Linked DNA regions of Lonchura striata. The protein of the gene in region 1 interacts with the protein of each later gene in a biochemical or structural test. Links are inferred from orthologs where the notes say so. Each region holds a gene or a part of one and is shown on either strand. Other genes may lie near its edges.

Evidence for each region.
Region 2: the proteins of DTL (region 1) and KMT5A form a complex in vitro, tested with the Homo sapiens proteins (2 studies listed by BioGRID, with this or other methods). The link is inferred for Lonchura striata from reciprocal best matches to the Homo sapiens genes DTL and KMT5A.

Annotation. Positions count from the first base shown.
Region 1 is NC_134605.1:12,058,980-12,070,669, reverse strand, and holds the start of DTL (denticleless protein homolog), read left to right. Parts: upstream 1-6,220; coding exon 6,221-6,266; intron 6,267-6,679; coding exon 6,680-6,805; intron 6,806-7,642; coding exon 7,643-7,741; intron 7,742-8,035; coding exon 8,036-8,097; intron 8,098-8,185; coding exon 8,186-8,306; intron 8,307-8,770; coding exon 8,771-8,836; intron 8,837-9,960; coding exon 9,961-10,076; intron 10,077-10,741; coding exon 10,742-10,815; intron 10,816-11,690. Other genes in the region: INTS7 (integrator complex subunit 7), read right to left, coding at 737-936, 1,454-1,500, 1,971-2,108, 4,653-4,799, 5,635-5,764, 5,904-5,994. UniProt on the Homo sapiens protein: Substrate-specific adapter of a DCX (DDB1-CUL4-X-box) E3 ubiquitin-protein ligase complex required for cell cycle control, DNA damage response and translesion DNA synthesis.
Region 2 is NC_134620.1:13,052,691-13,063,487, forward strand, and holds the start of KMT5A (N-lysine methyltransferase KMT5A), read left to right. Parts: upstream 1-6,182; 5' UTR 6,183-6,262; coding exon 6,263-6,418; intron 6,419-8,455; coding exon 8,456-8,609; intron 8,610-9,427; coding exon 9,428-9,641; intron 9,642-10,307; coding exon 10,308-10,392; intron 10,393-10,700; exon of another isoform or gene 10,701-10,733; coding exon 10,734-10,793; exon of another isoform or gene 10,794-10,797. UniProt on the Homo sapiens protein: Protein-lysine N-methyltransferase that monomethylates both histones and non-histone proteins. Specifically monomethylates 'Lys-20' of histone H4 (H4K20me1).

The DNA.
Region 1 (11,690 bases):
ATCAATGCCATTACCTAACAACCACAGACACCAGCCTTGCACAGCTGTACAGGGCTGAAAGAAAGCAAATAGATTTTTGTGACTCCTTTACAAAGAAAGATTAGCTGGATGAGTCTCAAGTGTCACTGTGTTCAGAGCTGCTCTATAAATCACATCCACAAAGCTCATTATCAGAGCATAAAAAGCACTGTATTTTTCCATCACTGCTTTTCCATTACTTGGTTTATAGTCCTGAATTTAAGGAAGCAATTGAAATTCCTCAAAACTCTCCAAGAAATACACTTTAAATGCATTAAATATTCATGTGCTTGCATGAAAGAAAGGCAAAAGGGACACCCACAACCCACAACAATATACAGAAGTGCTAAGTAAAGCCTGGTTTCCACAGGCAAGTTGAAGCTCTTTCAGAAAAAGTCAGGGTGTTTATTTTCCTGCATGCTGATCTATCCATGTTGATTTGAATCCCATTGTTGATTTGAATCCTTGATTTAGAAAAAGACCTGTTATGAACTGTAAAAAAGGTGTAGTGTGTTTGATACAGTCACCTGAAAATGGAACCAGAAAAGGTTAATATATGACAGCAGCAGCAGTTTTCAGGGTATTCTTCTTCGACAGCACACAGGAGCAAGCAACCCAGCACAGCCATCACTGTTTATTTTGATCAGCAGGCAGGATCTGAGTGCTTTTAAAATGTACTCTGTACTTCAAGAGGAAGACATGCCTTAGGAAGAGTTACCTGCTTGGGAATGTCAACCAGAGAAGAAGCAGCAAGCAGAGTAAAGGTGTGCAGGGTGACAATGACCATCTTGGTGGAGGGGTAGGATGTCACCAGCTGCTGCAGCAGCTGCCGGGAGCTGGAGGCCAGGCTGGCATCGTGGTGCATGTGCTGCAGAATAGGGATCAACTTCAGCTTCAAGTCCACAGGTGTGGCCAAACCTCAATAAGGAGAGAAACACAGCCAGAGTTAGTCCTTGGGCTGGCTTTTTTTTGGCAGCTCTGAGGCACAGAGTACATCTGGCTTGCTACCACTGCTGAAAGGAGATTGTGCAAACACCTGCAGTGGCTTCAAATAACTCATGTTCTAGCTAGGTGTGAAATGACAGCACTATCAAGCACTTCCATGGTTGTTTGGGAAAGCTGCTTCTTGCTTCACTGCAGGTAACACGCAAATTAACTAATCTGAAACAACCTATGAGAGTCTATGCAAATTTATCCATCACACTACAGATGGGCTTTTATTCTGTACCAAACAGGTGCTTTGAAAACTTAAATTTTAGGAGGATTTAAGATAACCAGACAGACTATTGGTCAGCTAATTTAAAAACTGGAATAATCTAAGGGCAACAGCATTCTGTAAATATAATAAATATAATCTAATATGTAAATATGAATAATGAAGAATTTTCAGAGAAATTAAAGTTTTTCCTCTTTATCATTCAACATACACACGTACCTTGAATCATCTCGCTGATTTTATTACATATTCCAACAGCAAAATCCCTGCAGAGAAAAGAAAGTACCAGGTGAAATGAAAAACAAAAAATTAAGTAATTAAAAACTGAAAAAAAAAAAATTGACTGAACTACCAAACACAATTAAAAGTTACACAAAAGAGTACCTGCCAAAACCTAAGTCTTTTCAGAACCCCTGCACACAGGCATGACCAAATGAGAAAATGAAGGCATTCAAAAACTAATAAGCAGCACTACATTTTGCTAATGTAATTTCTGTAAAATAATTCTATGAGATTGAGAATTAGAATAGCAGATTTAATCATGATTGAGAGCTTTCCATTTTAGGGAAAAAAAAATCTGCTGAACTTGCATTCAGATTTCCTTACATCATTATTGCACATAATTGTTTTCTATAAAGGACAGCACAACAGAAAATAGTAAGGTTTGTGAATGCCAGTGTTAATGGAGCTTCCATTCTCTGTAATGTGAAAAAGTAAAAAAAAAAACAGTTCTTACTTAGACTGTGCAGAAAAGTTGGCAGCAGCAAATATTGCAGCTTCAACTTCCACATTATCATGGGAATCCAAACTCTGGCGAATACTGTGATGTGCATTCTTCCTTTCTGGAATGATAGTTGCCATGCTGCCCAACATCCTACAGAAATAAATCACAGCAGAATCAGGAAGAACAGTGATCGTGAAGAAATAATGAAACCAAATAAAATGTAAAAAATACTGGTTAAAAGTCTATGTTTATATAAATATGTGCTCTTTCATGACTATTACAGAAACAAGCAATTACTAAAATTAAGCATCTAATTAAATGTAACAGATTTTGTTGTGTGGGTTGTGTCAGCGGTTTGATACAATTTAATTACATTTTGATACCTTTTAGCTTGAAATTGGCACAGTGAAAAACCTAACAAAAATTCTTTTAAAATTAAGAGCATATAGCATGATTTATTTCCAACATCTTTCACTGATGTAAGATAAGGTAATTAATGAAAAAAGTGCAACACTTTTTGTATAACTGCTAAAAAAGCAGCAAATCAACCTATACTTTGCTAAAAATATTTCAAAGAGAGCTTACAGGCATATTTAGCACAATCCAATTAAAAGAATAATAAATGTAGGATTTATATTGATGGTAATTTTAGCTAGAGTTCTGTGCAAATATTTACAGTTATCTAGCAATAAAATTCCACAGACAAAGTTTTGTTTAAGCAGCTCCTTCTTTCAACATGCTCTTCCTTATTGACACTATTCAAGGAGGCCCAAAAAATAAATCAACAAAAGATTTTAAACTGAAACTGCTGAACCGACAGCTACTTTAACATTTTATTTGATGCATCCTGTGAATTCAGTAATTAAAGTACTTATGCAAACTGAGAGGATTCCTGGGACTTGTAGCAGCCTGTGAAGATAACCCTCAATGCCAGTCAACAACTGCAATCTTATATTAGAGCACTGAAGAGGAACTACAAAAAACCATGCAGACATATTGTATTTACAGATTTCTGAGACACCAGGGCATGAAAGCATAACCTCAAATGAAATACTGAAAGAAAAAAGAAATGGACACTTGACCTCATCAATCAAAGCTCTGTTAATGATTCCCCATCTCCCAGCAGTAACAGTTCCAGATGGAGGCACAAAAAGAATATAAAGAAAGAAAGTGCTCTCTTCACATTTGAATTCACCTGCACAGGGGCTGGAAAATGCAGTTAAAAGGATCATGTTGGATAGTATTAGAGACACAGTCACCAAACCAGCAGGACAGTGACATGAAAGACAGATTAATTTTGTTTTCCCATTTGATTCCCAGAAGTTCAAAGCAATCAGTAATATAACAGCATTTCCTTAGAAGTTATTGATCAGAGATCATCTAGCAGTTCTAGCTAGGACAAGGCAGAATGAATAGCATAGTGCAAGCATAACAAGGTTCATGTAAGTTTTGGTTGCAAGTTAACAAAAACTATTTTGACACAAAAGGAAGCACTTTCACTTGGTCTAAAAGTATCCTAGCAAGATGAGATATATCACATATAGCTCCTGTCTGGGTTATGCATACAACAGATTCAGTTTTCTTCTCTGGTGTACATAAAATTTCAACACTGCAAATTATGTTTTGCCTGGGACCATCCACAAAATTCTTACCATCATAAATGGTTAATAACCTTGTTCTACTTATTCACAAAATTCTTACCATCACAAGTGGTTACTACCTTGTCCTTGTTATTACCAATCCTTATCATTCATGCCTTTGAAAGACAGATGTTTCTGCTTTTAACTCTATGAGCAATGTATAAAAAGCCTCCTTTATTTAACTCACAAAATCACAGAACGGCCTGGGTTGGAAGGGACCTTAAAGACCATCTAGTTCCAAACTCCTTGACATAGGCAGGGACATCTTCCACTTGACCAGGTTGCTGAAAGCCCCATCCAACCTGGCTTTGAACAGTTTCATGGATGAAGCATCCATGAATGCCTCCAACTTCTCTGGGCAACCTGTTCCAGTGCCTCACCACACTCAAAATAAAGAATTTTTTCTCAGTATCTTATCTAAACCTACTTTCTTTCAGTTTGAAGCCATTTTTCCCCTTGTCCTATCACTAAAGGCTCTCCATCGTTCTTGTAGGCTCCCTTCAGGTACTGGAAGGCCACAATTAGGTCACCCCAAAGTCTTCTCTTCTCCAGGCTGAACAATCCCAATTCTCTCAGCATTTCCTCACAAGAGAGGTGCTCCATCCCTTTAACCACCTCGGTTGCCTCCTCTGGACTCCCTCCAACAGGTTCATGTCCTTCCTGTGCTGGAGGCCCCAGAGCTGGACACAGAACTGCAGGAGGGGTCTCAGCAGAGGGGAGCAGAGAGGCAGAATCCCCTTCCTTGGCCTTTGGCTGCCCAGGCTCTTTCTGATGTAGCCCAAAACACATTTGGCTGTCTGGGCTGCCAGTGAACATTGCTGGGTCATGTCCAGCTTTTCATCCACTAGCACCCCTAAGTCCTTCTAGGCAGGGCTGCTCTTGGTCTGTTCATCCCCAGTCTGGACTGACACCAGGGATTGCCGTGGCCCAGATGCAATGCCTTGCATTTGGTCTTGTTATTCCAGACAGGCACATTGATAGACCTACAGGTTTGAAGTAAATCAGAATCATTCACCAGATTTGAAGTAAGTCAGATCACTCATGCCATACATACCGCAGTGTGATAGCCCGAGCAACCGGATCATTGCTATGGATTACTGAGAAAACTCTCTTGACAAATTCATCCACATTTAGGATCTTCTCTAAGTGCTTCTCACTCTGCTGAGTAACTTTCAGCACACACAGCCTCAGGAAGTTGTTCCTGTTAGAAAACACATACGTTTCCTTGTCAGGCTATTTTGAAACAAAAATTCAAGTACTTTAAATACTAAAATTATTTAACTACAACTTTTGGAGCAAATTAAAACAAGGAGATATCAATGCTTTAGAAACATTTGCGTAGACTGATAGAGTAAAACAGATACTATTAACATACTATTGCTTTATTTTCTAGTTCAGGTAGTGTCAAATTAAAGCCCAGTTCCAGGGCAATGAACTTGCTGACACCAGTGAGGAGGGGTGTAAGGATGCCTGTTTTGTGCACACACAGGGATCCAGATCTGCTGGAAAAACACATTCAAGACTAAGACAGAGAAGTCTTAATTACCACTGTCAAGTGCTGAGCAAATTTATTTTCCTTCCTGAAGGCAAGAGTGAAGATTCCGCAGCATCAGAATACACCTTTGTAAGCTTTTAAGAAGGAGTTTTGATTACATTATGTACATCACTCAGACACCAGGCACTTGGAAAAGCTATACTTTGTGAGCTTTGTTAGATTAAAATTGGCACATGTGATCATCCATCCATTTATGAGTTATGATTTGAATGTGCTTATGGAGCAAAACTTACACCAGTGAACTTAACCCAGTCAGAGAGAGAATCCTCAAATCAGGACAGATGGAAAGGAACTGTGTCATCACTCACAGCCACTCAAGCCCACTAAAGAAGGGGAAAACAAGTTCCAATCAAGCACAGCCGCAACAGACCGGGTACCAGAACGGTGCTGGCAGGCAAGCAGGCCATGCCAGATCCCAGCGCAGCCACACTCCAAGGCACAGTGCGTTCCCACGGAGCAGGCTCGAGCGGGCAGTACTCACCCCACTCTGAAAACATCGGCTAGCTTCAGGAACGCCGAGTTGATGAGGATGGGGAACGGGTATTTCTGGAAGAGCCTCGGAAAACGAACGACGGCTTCGCACTGCTCCCCGAGCTTGCCGGACCTGAGGCCTAGAGGAGACAGCAGGAATCACCGCACAGCCCCGGCTCCTTCCTCCGCCCCCGCCCTGCACAAAGCGCTGCCAAGCGGAGCCCCCGCCCCAGCCCCGCTGCCCGGGGCGGCGACAACGCCGAGCCCGCGCGGGCCCACCCTTGTCCAGCTCCATGAGGGCGGAGTTGGCGTCCAGCTCCTGCTCGCCATAGCCCGCGTCGGCCAGGAAGGACTTGGCGCTGGCCGCCATGGCTGCCGCTCGCCGCCGGTCCGCGCACGCGCAGCCGCGCGCCCGGCCCCGCCCGCCCGGCGCGGCCGCGGGAGCCGGCGGCGGGCGCGGCCCGCCCACCCCCGTGCTGCCCAATCAGAGGAGGCGGGCGAGGCGCGGCGCGCTCGCCGCTGACCAATGAGGGCTCGCGGCGCGCTTGGCGGGCCGGTGGTTTGGCGGGAGCTGGCTCGGCCGTGTCCCCGTGGCCATGCTGTGCCGCGCGCTGCTCCGCCGGGCCGCCGCCGCGCCCGCCCGTGAGTACCGCGCCTCCCCGCCGGTCCCGCGCCTCCCGTCCGGTACCGCTCCTTCCCGTCCGGTCCCGCGCCTTCCCGTCCGGTCCCGCGCCTCCCCGTCCGGTCCCGCGCCTCCCCGTCCGGTCCCGCGCCTCCCCGTCCGGTCCCGCGCCTCCCCGCCGGTCCCGCGCCTTCCCGTCCGGTCCCGCGCCTTCCCGTCCGGTCCCGCGCCTCCCCGCCGGTCCCGCGCCTCCCCGCCGGTCCCGCGCCTCCCCGCCGGTCCCGCGCCTCCCCGCCGGTCCCGCGCCTTCCCGCACGCCCTCCCTTCCCCATCCATCCCCGGCCGCCCGCACAGCCGCGGCGGCCGCCTTGCGGCTCGTGGCGCCCGAGCCTGTGGGGTCTGAGGCGCTTACGGTCCGTCTGTCCCGTTGTAGGTCGGTCCTCAGCGCTTCCCCTGCAGCATCTCTTGGACAGCTACCAGTGCAGCCGAGAAGATGACCACCTGTCGTACGGGGGAACGGGAATGCCAGTCCCTCCTTTCGGCTGCACCTTTTCTACAGGTAAATTCACCTCCTGAATGATCTTTTGAGGGGCCAGGGTATAGGTTCTGTTTCAGCAGTTTCTTGTTTTAAAGTGAGCTTGCTCCTGCAGCCTGCTTGCTCCTACACGTGATAAACTTTGGATCGTGGTGCACCTAGATACTGATGGAAAGTATTCCCTCAAAGAAGCAACTATAAAGCATTTATTTTAGTGTCTCTTTGTTTCATCTGTGTGTGTGCTTCAAGGCATGTCCTCTTGGAGATAGTGTGAGGCTACATAGGCGAAAAACTAGGCTTTATTCAAAATATCTAAAAACTATAATAGGGTGGAGAACATTAGGTAGAAATCAGAGGTGGATGGATGTCACCAGGAGTTACACACAGCATTTCCCCATGATGGGGGAAAGGAGTAAGCAATGGAGCTCCTGGATCTTTAGGGCAAAACTTCTTCATTCATTGTACTCTAGTTTTGGCATGAGATTTTACATTTCTCTAAGGTGGCCTCCTTCTTTTCCAAGTCAGATCATGGAAAATGCTGGAGGCTGTAGATGATAGGTACTCTAGAGATAGGAAACTGTAACTAGAAAACTGCTATAGCTGGTGGAAGAGGTATTATCTCAAAAGTTGTTTCTGGAGTCATTTGATTGCCCATGTATAGTCATTTTAGAACGGCACATCTAGAAAAAATGCTTGCTAGTATTTCTGTATTTTTACAGTTAGGTTGCTATGTAAATGCTGTTTATTTCACAGCTTTATGTTTGCTGCATTCCCTATTTAAAACATCTGTGGCTTTCACAAAGAGCAAGGGTAGGATTTTGTATTAGCTACATAATATAATACGCTTCAATTTCTTTTCAGCCCCAAATTTGGAGCACATCCTGGCAGTTGCAAATGAAGAAGGGTTTGTTAGACTGTATGATACTGAAGCACAGACCACCAGCAAGCTCATCTTTAAAGGTAAATGTATAGAAGGTGATCTTCATTTGATGTGACAAGTGTGGGACTTGCTGGAATCAAAGAGAGCTTTTTGCAAGTCCTTAAAACGTAAATTTTAGGCAGTACTTTATTCCTTCTGCATAGCAGCAACACAATGTGCTCTTACTGCAGTAGTAGATGAATTGTTCTGTATTGTCTTTCATGCCTAAGGCAAACTGTTGACAAGATTTCTGATTTCATGACAATCCAGATGTCATTTGCAAAATACCATGCTGCGATGCACTGAACTAATCTTGGCTTTTGTTTTCTTGTTAGAATGGCAGGCTCACTCAAATGCTGTGTTTGACCTTGCCTGGGTGCCAGGAGAACACAGGATTGTAAGTAGTCTTTTGCCATCTCTTTTTTTTAATGCCTTGGCACCTCTGTACAGAAAATGACTTAAGCTTTTTATTTTTCCCTCTGAAGGTCACTGCTTCAGGAGATCAGACAGCCAAGGTGTGGGATGTGAGAGCTGGCGAGCTTCTTGGCATATGCAAAGGTCACCAGTGTAGCCTCAAGTCAGTTGCTTTTTCTAGATTTGAGAAAGGTAAATGTTGGTATTCCCTGTTGTCTGTTTTTTCCTTCTTTACCCCCGGCAAAGTACTTTTAAGGGCTGAAAAAAGGCTTTGGAAACTGACGGGTACCAATAGCACAGGCCTGAGCAGTGACCCAGCCAGGAAAGCAAAACTGTCTAGTTAGAACTCGATGGTGTCCTTATGCTAAAATCAGCACATTGCTGATCTTGGGCAAAGATAGGATATCTGCTTCCATACCCAAGCGTGTGAATATACTTTCCATGAGCTGGTTTCTCTAGTGGGAGTAAGAAAAGGATAGTAAGGGAAAGATAGCAAGTCAAAAAGCATGGAAAAACAATGGCCTGAGTTTTATATTTCCAGGACTGGCATCACAAGTGTTGGGACAGAAGAGCCAGAGGTACATAGGTGCATTGTACTGCATTCAGTTAATTAAATGAATGCTTTTAGAAGGTAATAACACTTTTTTTTCTTGCAGCTGTTTTCTGTACTGGAGGGAGAGATGGAAACATCATGGTTTGGGATACCAGGTGCAACAAGAAAGGTAAATAAACTTTCAAATATGTATCAACAAAGCTTGGTATCTCGTGTAAAAGGACTGCTCAGATGGACTTGTTGGACTGATACTTTTAATTACAATGTAGGCAGCAGAGGCTTCTCAGATAACTTTACTGCTTTAGGTGCTGTAAGAGAATGGAATAGGTATCTCTGTTATATATGTATAAGACATTTCTCTACTTTGCAGCAGTTGATGATGTGCAGCATCAAACCACAGGCTGGTTTGAGAATTCCATGTGTGTAGGTAAAGACATGAGGCTGTATAGAATACATCCCTGCTAGGGCAGTGCAAAGCAGATGAGATAGGAGAGATTGCTTAGGTCAGAGCCATCCAGAGGGGTGAGGAAAAGCTGGAAAGGCTCCTGCCAGAGTAGAAAGGAAGGCAGAAAATGTAAGAAAAAGGAGCTTGTGAGTGCTGGTAGCAACTGAATATATTGTGGGAGCACCTACTATAAATATGTGAGCTCATTCTGCTCCTCTGTTTCCTGGAGCTTTTCCTTCTCCAGCCCCTTCCCCTTATGCCATTTCCCAGTTCCCTGCTCTGCCACACCAGTTTCTTTGCCTGAACATGTCTTGCTCTTCCATCTGTCCCAGGTTCCTTGGCTTTTCAAGCAGGCAAGTGAATGAAAAGTTGACTGACTCCACATGATTGAAGTGGAAGGTGTAGGAAAAAAAAAAGTAGAACAGTCGCCTTACTCTAGTAAGGCAGTACATTTCTAAAGGTAATAGACAAAAGGCTGAACAGGAAATTATAAAATAGAGCACTGGAAATCTTCCAGTGAGTGCAGTTCTGCTTGGGATGAGTGGGTAGAACACTCAGACCGGGATGCATGTGAAAAACAGATAAAGGGGTAATAATTTCCAAAGGCAGTCTGCCTAGATCAGTTTTAGTTTCAATGTTCATGCTACACTGACCTCTGCAGTTTTTTGCACTGTGTTTTTCTCACTGGTTTTGTATATAAGTAATTTTTGTTTTCAGGATGCATGTATGATTTTAAAGGTTAACCTAAGTTACCTTTTAGGTCTAATCCCAAACTGATGCCTGTTTTATTAAAGTGATAGCAAAATTGCATATAAACTACTAATTGAGATGTCTTTGATTTCTTTCAGATGGCTTTTACAGGCAGGTAAATCAAATCAGTGGAGCACACAATGTGGCTGAGAAGCAGACTCCTTCCAAACTGAAGAAGAGGAGGCAGAACCTGAGAGGACTTGCTCCCTTGGTGGTGGGTATCTGGGCAACAAACAAAATGTTCCTTCTGGGGACAGTGGTATTCACAGAATTCTTCCTAAGTAAATGTAGTGAGAAATATGTGGCTTGTATGTGGTAAATGCTTCCATTTACCTTTGCAGAGATAGAGTTTTTTGTCATGGTCATTCACAATGGCTAATTTTAGACATTGTTTAGTTGCCTAACAGCCCACATGCCATAAAAGCCAGCTTTGGGCAAATGCTATGTGAAAATACAGGGGGGATTTTTTTCCCTCCCCAGGGAGGAAAAGAGTGGCTAGCATTCCCATTTTGAGGAGAGAGATAGGGAGAGTTGTAATTTTCTTTTTTTACCCCCTTAATTTGACCAGATAAATTACTGCCTTACTGGAGGAAGACCTGATAATTTTTCATCTATTAAACTTCGAGATGAAGGCAGCTCTCTTATCTGTGAGCTGAAAGGTGTAATCTCAAACTGCTGCCCAAACACTTATCTCTCAGTGGCAATTTCTCTGGTGGGAGTGTTCAAAGCATTGTTGTGTCCTAAATGACATCTGCTGTTTCTATGTTCTGCTGCCTGGCTAGGAGGAGGTTTTCACTGCGTTCACACGGCCTTGAACTAAGCAGCAAGATCTTGCTGACCTTAAAAGAAAATAAAATTCTTTTTTCCTCTCTTTTTAAGGATTTCCAGCAGAGTGTAACTGTGGTGCTGTTTCAGGATGAGCATACTCTTATCTCTGCAGGAGCTGTTGATGGGTAAGGAGGGAGGATGCCTGCTTTCCTGTCCATTCTGTGTGCTCAGTGGCATAAAAAGATTGGGAGATTTTCTCTCTAAGACCACTCAGTGGCCAAGAAGGCTAGAGCTACTGCGAAGTGGAATCAGTAGCTATGCTGCCAGCTTGCACTGGCTTTACTTCCTTACTGGAGATTGCAGTACTGGACAAGCTGTGATATGTGGTAAATGCTCATTTTAATCTTAGCTATGGGGCAGAATGAGAGCAAGTCTTCCCTCTCTCTTTTCTCACAGACCTATGAGACCACACATAGACAGACTATTGTTAGACAGCCTTATGGATGTGAGTGGGTGGTCAGAGCCTGGACATGTGTAGGCATGTTTGAGAAAATGTTGCTTTGAGTTACAAAAGATGCATTCTCTTAGGTGCCAGATCTCTTGGAGGGATCAAGCATCTTGGAGCTTGAGCAAACTCTTATTGATCAGCATGGAAATTATCCTCTTGGACTCAATTCTTTAGCAGGTTCCATGTGGTCAGAGCCTTTCTGAGGCAGATAAGATTGACTGTCCTACCTATGGTTCATGACAGAGACTTGCTGCCAAAGAGCAAGTAAAAAAATTGGAAGACTTAATTTTTAAAACTACTTGTCAAGTAAAAATACATCCACATATTTCCTTCTACCAGTTGAAGGAAGTTGGCTTCTAGGCTTTTGTTCTAGCCTGTGTTAGTTACAGAAGGCAGTGCTTCTTCCTCACCCATGGCCAGCAGAGCAATTGTTTGGCTTTCAGCACGGCTCTGCGCTACTCCTGCTCAGCTGTTGTCTCCTTAACACTGGATACTCCTCAGTCATGAGCAACCTGGCTTCCTGTGCTCTTAAAAGGCTTTATCAACATGGAA
Region 2 (10,797 bases), on another chromosome or scaffold:
CAACATCAACTACAGATTTTCATTTTGGGGGAGGGCAGCTTACAAAACATTAATATATGTTTTTAAGTAATTTTAATCCAGACACAGCCTTGGTAGTCTAAAGCCAAATAGTCTACCACTGAGTTAATTCCTAACTTCACACTGTGCCGTTTGATCACACTAAATTTTTTTTTTTCACTCACTCTGGAGTTACCTAACAAATCAATTCAAGGGCTTTATTTTTGAAGCATTTACAAAATCTGCCTCATCTTTAATAGGTATCGAACACGTATAACCAACCTACGTGTTTAAATACCTGAAAGTAAGTACAAGAGTTCTAATTTATACTCTCAAATGCAGTGTGGAACCTGGCCAGCTAAAAATAATAAAGAAACAACAAAAAAAAACCCAGAAGAAAAACCCAAAAGGCCTCTTCCCCATCAGACTGCAGGGGCATTTCTATGTTAAACTATTACTCACCCTAGCAACCTCTGTTTGAGGTGCGCTCGTTACGAGTCCCTGGACTTTGAGGCCGTGTCTGTCGCCGCGGTTCAACTCCCCGGGAGCAGCGGGGGCCCAGAGGGCTCGGCAGGGCGGGGAAGCCCCCGGGGAGGCGACGGGAGAGACGGGGGTCGGCGGCTCCTGCCCCGCCACCTTCCCACCAACACGTGTTCCCGACATAAACTTCCGGGTTGGGCCAGAATCGGCTGCGTAATCCCGTCCCATGAGCGACTTTTTGTTCCCAGACCTTCACCTCTTTAAAGATCCCTCCAACAGCACCGCAATCCGGGGGAAGGGCGGGAGGGCTCCGTCTCACGGCGGCTTTCGGAGCCGCTCCGGCACCATAAATCAAACACTCCCCCCATCCCCCCCGGCCTCGTTTCTCCATTTCAAACCTCAACAATCGGCGGCCGCGGAAAGAGCGCACAAAGGCGCGGGCCGGGCCGGCCCGGGGGGCTCTGCCCGCGCAGGGCTGCGGCGGGGGGGAGCGGCTCAACCCAGCGCCGCGCCCGCCCCCGGTAGAGAAGCGCTCCGCCAGAACCGGGGGGCCCCGCCGCCCGCCCCCGCACGCCCCCGGGCACCAAGTTCGCGGGACAACCGGGGCTCCGCCGGGGCGGCGGCGGCGCCCGGCCCGCCCGCCGCGCCGCCCCCGGCCCACCGGGACCCCTGCGGGGGCGGCCGCGCAGCCTTCCGGGGCTGAGGGACCGAGGGAGACGCGGAGCCGCTCCCAGCACAACGGGTCCTCCCCGGACACCCCCGCGCCGCCGCCGCGGGCCCCGGTGAGGAGCTGAGGGGAAGAAACCCCCGGGGCGGCCCCACAATGCGGAGAAGCGGCCAGAGGCGGCCAAAGAGGCGCGGCGCCAGGCAAAAGAACAGCGCGGGACTTACTCTCCGTCGCACTCGATGCTCCCGCGGGCTCCTGGAAGTCTCCGCCGCCGGCCCCGCCGCCCGCCGCTTTCTAACTCACGGCCGCCATCTTTGCCCTCCCTCCCCTCACAGGGGAGGGGGGGGGGCCGGAGGAGGGGGCCGCCCGCACCACGTGACCCGGGCCGCGCCTCCCTCCCCCCGCCGCGCCGCGCGCGCTCCCCGCCCACGTGACCCCGCCAGCCACCGCCCGCCGCTGGCGCGCGCTCGGCACCACGTGACCCGCCCCCCCCGCCCCGCGGGCTCCCCGGTCACGTGGCCGCCGCCGCCGTCTCGCGCCCACCCCCCCCCCCATTCCCGTCGCCGGGCCCTGGCGCGCGTTCCCCGTTCGCCCCCCCATCACGTGGCATGCCGCGCCTCGGTTTCTCTCCGCTCTCAGCAACGGGGAGGTAGCAAGTTCCCCCTTCTCTCCCCCACCCCAGAAAAAAAAAAAAAAACAAAAAAACCCGGCGTATCCACCGTCCTTCAAATAAGCGACGTCCCCGCGGGCGGGCCCCGCCCCAAAGCGGCGGCCGCACTCGAGCCTTGGCGATCCGGGCCCGGTTCCCGGTAGGGTGGGGGGAGGGGAAGGCGGAGGCGAACGGCAGCGAGCGGTCACGTGACCTAGGGCTCCCGCAAGATGGCGGCTGCCGGCGAGAACCCGGCAGCGCGGCGGAGCTCTCGCGAGACCTCGCGTTTCTCGCTGCATCACGGGGAGGGGCGGGGGGGGGGGGGAGGCGCCGTGCGCGCGCCCCCGCCTGAGGCGGCGTTGGCGGGACCGGGCCGGGCTCGGTGTGAGCGTGAGGGGAAACGGGGAACGGCGAAACGGTGTTCTCTGAGCTCATCCCCGCCCCTGCTCCCGCCGGTGAATGCCTCTCACTTCAGCCGGCCCCCTGGTCCCGTCCCTCCGCGGTTGGCGGCTCCGAGCAGCCCGGTGCGGCCGGTGCCTCCCCGCCCTGAGGCGCCGCCACCTCCGCCCCCTCACGGCGCCGCGGCCCTGCGGAGCTCCTGCACCGGATCTCCCCCGGCAGAACGCGGGAGGATTTCCCTGCTGCCCTCCCTGGGAATGCCCAGGGGATGTGATGAGTTTTCCCTTGCGAATGTTTTACAAGCTGCTAATGTGAAACTTGCTGCTGCAAAGAGTGAGTTAAAATCTGGAGACCACTCGTGCTAGTTTCACATTTGGAGACATTTTTTTTAGCGCTGGAGGCCCCCCAGACTGAGAAGACTTGTTAAAAGAGACAATCTTCCAATAAAATGCTTTCCCAGTTGTGTAAACCATGAACATTTGTGAGAACTTTCACACAGAATTGAGGCAGACAGATGAAGTGTAAGCAATTCAAATGTGCAGTGCTACTTATTCAATCTTGTGCAAGTTTACTTATCATTAGACAAATCTAACAGAGATTAATATACCCAATAAAGGATTAGACAGATTAAGGGTAAACTATTTAAAGACAAAGCAACGTTAATTAAAATGATTTAAGTAATTCAGATTAATCAGTGATGCTTCAAACGGAGAAAAAGATGACAGAAGTGAGGCCAGAGACCTGAAGAACAATTGAAATGGCAGCTTTTATCTTGATTATTGCCCTCTGCACACTTCAGATGATGAAGTACAGCTCACACGTGCTGAACCGAACTTTAAATCTCAGCAGCTCTGTACAAACGTGACAAGGAAGGGAGGGTTTTGATGTCTTGAGTTGAAAAGGGAGTTACCTGTCAGCGTTTGTGATCATCCTCGACTGCAATAGGTGAGTAATCCCGCTGGTGGAAATGCTGCTTTCCATTGGCGTGGAATTAGCACAGGCACATTTGTCTGCAGGACTCTGTTTCCATAGAATTTTGGCATGTAATTCACGGATCTCGCTGCACTTTCTAGTCAGAGATTTTTTTTTTTTTTTAATCATTGGTAGATACAATTCTGAATGTAATTATATTTTATAATCTATGAAATGCAGTTAGCACCTACTGGCATTTTACTCTGTGACTTTATAAAATGATGTTGCTTAATGTAACACTCAGCAGTTACCCTCAGGGATTATTTTTACTTGATTTCTAGTGGCTGAAGCACAAATTGTAGGGATTTCATCTTGTGAACGAGAAATTTGTGTAAATGCTGTCATTTATTTTGCAAATTGCAAATATGACAGGTGCTGTGTGAGAACTTGCTCTCAGGTGGCAATATTTAACAAGCATCTCCTTGGTATATTGGACAGAAAATGAGACTACTAATTCAAAGATAAAATAAGAATTTTTTTTTAACCTGGATGAAGTGTTCATCTAGACCGAAGAGATTTACCTTGACGATTTTCTACCCTTTCTGAGCAAATCAACGCCTCGCTCGCTCTTCCTTCCCTTCCCCCACAAAACAATTTCACATTTCCGCAGTAAAACGTGGTGCTCTCGGGAGCTGCTCATGCGGCACTACGGGAGAGAATATTTAGGTCACTGGGTTTTAGCGCTGCTCCCTCTGGATTACGGGAGTCGGCAGCGCTCCCTGCATGTGCCGCGTGTCCCGAGTCACAGTGACGGGCGGCTCCAGCCACGCTCTCCTGGGCTGGAGCCTTCAGCATTTCAACTTCTGCTCATCTCTGGCTTCTGGCCGCAGCCAGCTGAGGGGCAAAGCCAACATGTTTTGCTAATTCACAGCGTGATCCCACCGCGCCGGGAGCAGCGGCCAGTTAGAGATGACGTTGTTTTCTTTGTTGCTCTGGGGAAGAGAATTCCTTGGCTTCCTTTGCCCTCTACTGGTGGCCCGCACGGCTTCGATGCCAACTCGGTGCCTTTGCTTAACATACATATGTAAAATCATAATTTAAAACACACAACCCCCAACAGCTGAGCAAAACTACAGTTGAGGCCGTTTCCAGAGCTTTCCCAAGACATTAGGAAGAGTGCTCCCTATTACTGTAAGAAGGAAATCATCTTAGTAGTTTATGAAGATCTTTTTTTTGCCAGTTACATCCCTGCTGTGCAATAAGTACAGTGCAAACTGGGGTGGAAAAATCAGAGCAGTGTCTGCTCTGGTGCTTGTGCAGAGAGTTTGGAGTACCTGCCTTGGTGGAAGAACACCATGGACGTGGATGTTCATGGACGTGATGCCCAGAGAATGTCAGCTGGCTGCAGCTTTGAGTTTACAGGGGAATTCCCAGTGAGTTTTGGTTGCCTCTCTGTAAAATTCATTTGCCTGGTGATCGAAGACCCAGATGTACCAAATGACAGTGCCCATGAAGAGCTGGGTTTGTTCTGTCTTCTCCCAAAGTGCCTGAATGCAGAACTGTCACAGGAAAAGTAGGGAGTGGGCTGGAATGCTGTGCTGCCTTCTGAGACTCCTCTGCAGTCACACTGAATTCCTGCCCTCTGAGCTCCCAGCTGCTGTGGGACAGCTTGGAAAGGACGAGGCCCCAAGTTCTTACTTAAGATGAGAAGGGTTTTTTTCCTGTTCTTAAGGGAAAGGATGGCTTTCAGCTGTACCACAGACTGGCTGTTTATGTCACTGTGGGAATGCCAGCGACAAGCAGCAGCCTGTGGCTACAGATAAGCCTGGGGTGGGAAGCCACCCCTGTGGCGATAGCGCTCGGGCCAGCACAAGCACCACAGCCCCAGCTCCTGAGCACACACACTCTGTAGGCCTCGATGCAGGAGGGGTGGCACAGATAGGAAACAGGAGTCCTGCACCATTGCTCAATAGAAGCGTTCTGCTTGTCGTGGAGCATTGAAGTCCTGTGTGGCAATTTCCTGATTTCCATGATGGCATCCACGTGGCATCCATCCAGATCCCCTGAGCCACGTGTGCTTTGCCTCATTGCTGTGTTACTCTTTGCCATTGTACTTTCTTGATTTCAAAGTGCATGTACTAGTCCTGTTGGAAGCTTCTGACAAGGAAGTCGATGCTGAAGGCAGTTCCAGCTCTCCTGGTGATAATGATGGCTGTCATTTGCCTTTGTAATATTTTAGCTGCCCTCGTTATGGATTGGAGATTTACATAAGGTCTTTGACACTTCAGTGCAATGCTGGAGAATTACCTGCTCTCCAGGCAAGCTTGGAAGATAGAACTAATAGACTTAAACTTCAGCCAGGGAGATCTAAACCAAACATTGTGTAATGCAGCCTAATAATTTCGCAGAGCAGAGTTTTACAATCCCGCCAGGATTAGGGGTACCCCGAATCCCTGCTGCGAGGTGGCGTGGGCCGGTGCGGAGCGGACGGGGGGTACCACGGTGCCCCCGCGCTCCGCGGGCTCGCACGGCCCCGCTCGCGCCCCGCGCGCTCCCACCACGTGGCGCGGCCCGGCCGCGGAGGGGCATTCCCTGCCGGGCCGCCAATCAGAGCGCCGCCTGCTCTCGGCACGGACCAATCAGCGCCCAGCGAACACACATTTAAACCCTGCTCCCGGGAGCCGCAGCCACCGCGGTGTGACAGGGGGAGGGCGGGCCATGGCCGCTCGCGCCAATCAGAGGCCTGAGCGCGATGATTGGCAGGCGGTTAAACCAATGGGGTTGCCGAGGGTAACGCGGCGTCTCCCTGCGGAGCGGTTGGCGGCGGCGGGGACTCCGCGGGGACAGCCGGGGCCGCCCGGCGCGGGGGCTCCGAGGCGCGCGGCCGCCGCCGCCGCCGCCATGGCCGGAGGTGCGCGGGGCGGAGCAGGCAGGAGCGGAGCGGGGCCGGGACGCGGCGGGGCCGGCGGGGCTGGGCCCGCGCGGCGCGGGGCATCTCCGCGGCGCGGAAGCTCCTCCTGGGAGGTGCGGGGAGCCGGGGCCGGCGGGACTCCTCCCCCGCGCGGTGTGCGCAGCTCGCCGGGAAGGGGCTGGGCCGCCGCGGCTCGCCCTGCCGCATCCAGCCCTTTAAACATGGCGCAGGCCGGGGCGGCCGGGCGATGACCGCGGGCGGCAGCGCCGGACATGGCTCAGCCGCCGACCTTCCCCCGTTGCTCCTAGGGAAGAACATGCCCAAGACCAGGGCGGGCGGCGTGGAGAAGGCAAGCCCCGAGAGCGCCGAGAGGAAGGGCCCTAGCCGCCCCCGGGCCGGCGGGGTAAGCAGTGCCCGGGCCTGGGCGGGCGGAGCGGGGCGGGCGGCTCCCGGGGTCTGCCGTGCCCTCCGCTTCCCCCCGGGGCGGGCGAGCCGGCGTGCGGGCTGCCCCGGGGAGCCGCGGGGCCCGGGCCTTCGGGACCCCCTCAAATCCGCCAGAAATCGGTTAACTTTAAGTACGGTCGGACTCTTTCCGTGTTTTCCTGTGCCCTACCGCAGACAGGCACTAGGCTCGACATTCCCTCCGTGCCATCTTCCCCGTCTTGTAGTTCTGTCACAGGCAGCTGGCCGGACGCTGCTTGTCTCTTTGCCTTTTACTCCCAGTGGGAATAATTGTGGCTGTTGCATTAAATCCTGGAGCCCCTCTCTAGCCTTCCGTGTGTTTCGCTGTGCTGAGAAAATCTCTGCTCCCCGGGGTCTCAAGCCTGGCACAGACAAAGACGTGGCAGCGGCATCTCGGTTGCGCCAAGAGCGCAGCAGGAAGGGAGCTGGGAATGAAGGGAGGAAGCAATGCTGGAAAAATAGTTGTTCCTTTCCCGTTCATGGTGTATTCAAAGCCTGAAGGCTCAGCTGGCAGGTGGACTGCAGCTCACTGCTTTGGGCTTTCTCCCAAAATGCCCGTATTTAAACTTCTTACTAAATCTTGAGGACTTTGAAGCTCAGGGTTCATTGCTTGTATTTGTTAAAATTGAGTGTTTTCATAGTATTTCATGCTTGGAAGCTCCGGTTTTTTAATAAGGAAGTTTTGCCTTTCATAGGCCTTTCAGAAATATTAGAGGTCAGGGAGTGTCTGTCCTGTTTGCTTTTTCTCAGGATGTTCCATCGTAATCTCAGTCTTTAGTCGTTTATATTTGGACTAAGATTTGAGCTTTTAACTAGTCTAATTTTGTGTGAATTATGTACATAGGAAGTTTGTTATTCATTACCACGTTAATTATTAAAATTATCCTATCTGTTCTATTGTGTACTTTGTTTACTTTTTCATTGTCTGTGTCTGAAATACTGAGGTATTTGTTTAGTCAGCAATATTTGAGCTTTTTTTGACTACTGGGACCCTTTGTTCCTTGCTTTTCTAAGAAAATGGATGCATATTTTTGTTGTTTTAACTGGCATGCAATGTCTGAAAATTGCTTTTGGTTGAGTCAAATTATAGCCAAGAAAAACTCATTCTGCCCAAGTTGCATCTGTTTGTCCAGACTCTGAGATTTCACGGTTGGAATGTGCCTGCCATACTCTGCACAGGCAATCATAGCCAGGTGGCAGGAGGCTGTGAAAGCAAAGGTGACAGGACTCCACTAATCTTTGCTAAATTTGACACTGCTCACTGTTGGCATCTTGGAGCCTGAGCCAGCAAACAAACCCCAGGCTCTGTGGTGTCTGGCCATACCAGAGGGTTTTGCCATTTTGCCATTTTCCTGACTGGGCTTTGCACAGATCCTTTAAGGGCCCTTTTTTTTTTGCCATAAACAACCTTTACACTTTATTTTTATGTCATATAATGGATAAAATATAGCACTGTTTATCTCCTATGCTTTGCTGAGAGGTGTCACTCAAGGTAGGCTGTAAAACTGATTTCTGTGCTGCTCAGTTGAGCATATAATTTGCTGCAACAACATTTGATACCTCCTGAGAGTAGCTGGGTAGATCATACCGCTCTGGCTGTGAGAGCTCTCTACTGGGCCTGGGCAATTTTTGCTGCACTATTCATATTTTTTTTGGCATGTGCTCTTTGAGGCTGCCTTCCTCCCCAGGAGCTCCCACTTGGGTTTTTTTTCACACCAAAGTTCATACTGTGAAGCACAAGGGTGGAGGCTGGAGTTAGCTATGACTACTCCATCCTGCCACATTTTATTATTTAAGTTCTCAGCACTCTGTTTTCACTTAGAAATCAAAACCTCAGTGAGTGTGATGCTTCAAACAGTATAATTTGCATCAGCACAATCACCTGTCAGCCCTGGTTGCTGCAGACGGTTGTGGATGCCAGCTTGAGGTTCCTGAACTCTCTGTGCTGAACTGATTTTTTTGTGTGGGTCTGTTTTAGGAGAATGTGTTTATTGGTCAATCCAAAATCTACAGCTACCTGAATCCCAACAAACCTGGTGCTCGCCCCCCGCTTCAAGAAGAAAACTCTGTCATGTATCACGAGGTGAAATGTCAGGGCAAAACACTAAAGGAAACCTACAGGAAAGGAGCTGGTAAGATTAAGCTTTGGATTGCTTATCTTGGTGAAGGTGCTCCCACTGCCCCAATTCTAATATTTTCATCAAGAAATACAAGCAGTGAGGATGAGCCCAAACTGGATGCCGAGTGGCAGGCTTCACAGTGACTAGAAATGGGAGTGTTCTGTAAGTTTACCAAGGGGAAGAAAACCCATCTGGCTTGTGTTTAAAGGTGCATTTAACAGCCTTGGTAATTTGTCAAAGTACTTTGATGCAAACAATTTTACAATCAGGCATTTTCAGTCCCATTTGACACAAGGAGTGTCAGGCTTTCTGGAAACTTGGGGCCTTTAGTTCCTAATTTGGCACCCCCAGCTTTGGCAAGGAGGTAAAGATGGCTTTAGTTTGTCCCACTGCTGAGGCCTTGCAGCTGTGCTTCTTTTCTCCAGTGAGACTGAAGCATCTGTCTCAGCAGATGGGACTGTTAAACCTGATGGTTTACTCTACATAAAAACGTTGATGAGCTTTAAACCACTCTCGCCTACCTCTGAGTCAGTTATCTGAGGAGGAGGATGTGGTTGTATTGGGGTAGGATGCAAAAAAACAAGTAAATGTTGGTTGTTGTGGGGAGTGCGGATTTCTTGTCAGTGCCAGCCCTTTAGCTCCCATGGATTTACCCTGGGTGGCACTGGCCTCTTGGTACCAACATCTGCAGCTGCTGAGCCCAGCAGTGCAGGGTCATTGTTCTCCTTTTTCTCTCATTTGACAGAACTCTAAACCACTGGAATTCATTTAAAGCACTCAGGTATAGTTGGTCCTAAGTTCAGAGCCTTACTCGATTTCCTTGTCACCAGGAAAAAAGAAAGGTGGCAAAATAATTGAAGGTGCTGTGAAACCAGATGACCAGAAGGACAAGGAAGGTGGGTGCAATCCTTCGGTGCCCTCTGATCAAAACCAAGAAACTGTGGAAACCCAAAAGACTCCCTTGCCTGCAGACTGTGCTGAGGAGGCCAATGCAAAGCCAGCTCAGAAGAAGATGGTTAAAGCAAAACGAGGACCAAGGAAAAAGTAAGTGACTTCTGGAATTGTGAAAGGATGGCTCTTTGTTTTCTCAAGAATATCATGCTTTAAAAACCCTAAAATAGCATCCAAGTACCTACTTTGCAGAGGACTTGTTTGTCTTGTGAAAGCAAGGTTAATGTGTTCTATTGTTCTATCACAAGTTAAATGTTTGCTGGTTACCTATGGAAGAAAATAATGAGCCATTAAGACCTACTTTCCTGTGGACAAATGGGAATGTGTCTTGTCAGAAACAGAACAGTTGGAGGCTTCCTGGCTGAGCTGATACCCTTTCTCTTGGTATCAGAGTAATATGACCTAACATTAATTAATTCCTTGCCAAGCAGTTTTCATGACCTAAATTTTCGAGTGCCTTCTGGCAAGGCACGCAGGGGGCCCCAGACTTGTAATGTGACCTTCAGTTGATTTCCAACGACATCTCACTTGTATTGTTCAAGAATTAGTACTGGAGTAATGGAAATAGTGTGGGGAAGAAAAGGGGATGTAGCTGTGGCTTGAAACTAAGAGTACTGATAAAAAACACTGATTCATATTGATCACCTTTCAACTTACCAAGCTCAAATAAAAATTTATCGCACATACCTTTGCTCTAGTGCTTTAACTTAACAAATAGTCTGAAATATGTGTGTGTGTTCTCTTTTTCTTCCCCCTTAGAACACAAGGAAGAACACCAAACAGAAAAGTGACGGATTATTACCCAGTTAGAAGAAGTTCCAGGAAGAGCAAATCTGAATTGGAGGTAGTGTTTCTTGTTAAAATGACATTACTTATAACATGTCTGACTAGCTGAAAATCTAACATGTGTAACTATGGTTTCCATTCAAAATGCAAATAAAGTTGTGCACTTGAAGTATTGTTAAGAACATGCTTAAGCTTTGGAAATGCTGGTCCAGTTTAGAGCAGAATCTAGCTGTTTATGTATTTTGAGGGCAGAAATCTTTCTGCTGTTCAGTTTGCTGGAAATATGAGATGGTTTGGAACAATGAGTGTCATTGGTGGGTAATTTCCTTCCAGCTCTAGAAGAAGCTACAAAAGCTATCAACAACATTATGGTTTTGTTTGTTCTTGTTTATTCTGCAGACTGAGGAAAGGAGGAAAATAGATGAGCTGATTACAAGTGGGAAAGAAGAAGGAATGAAGGTAA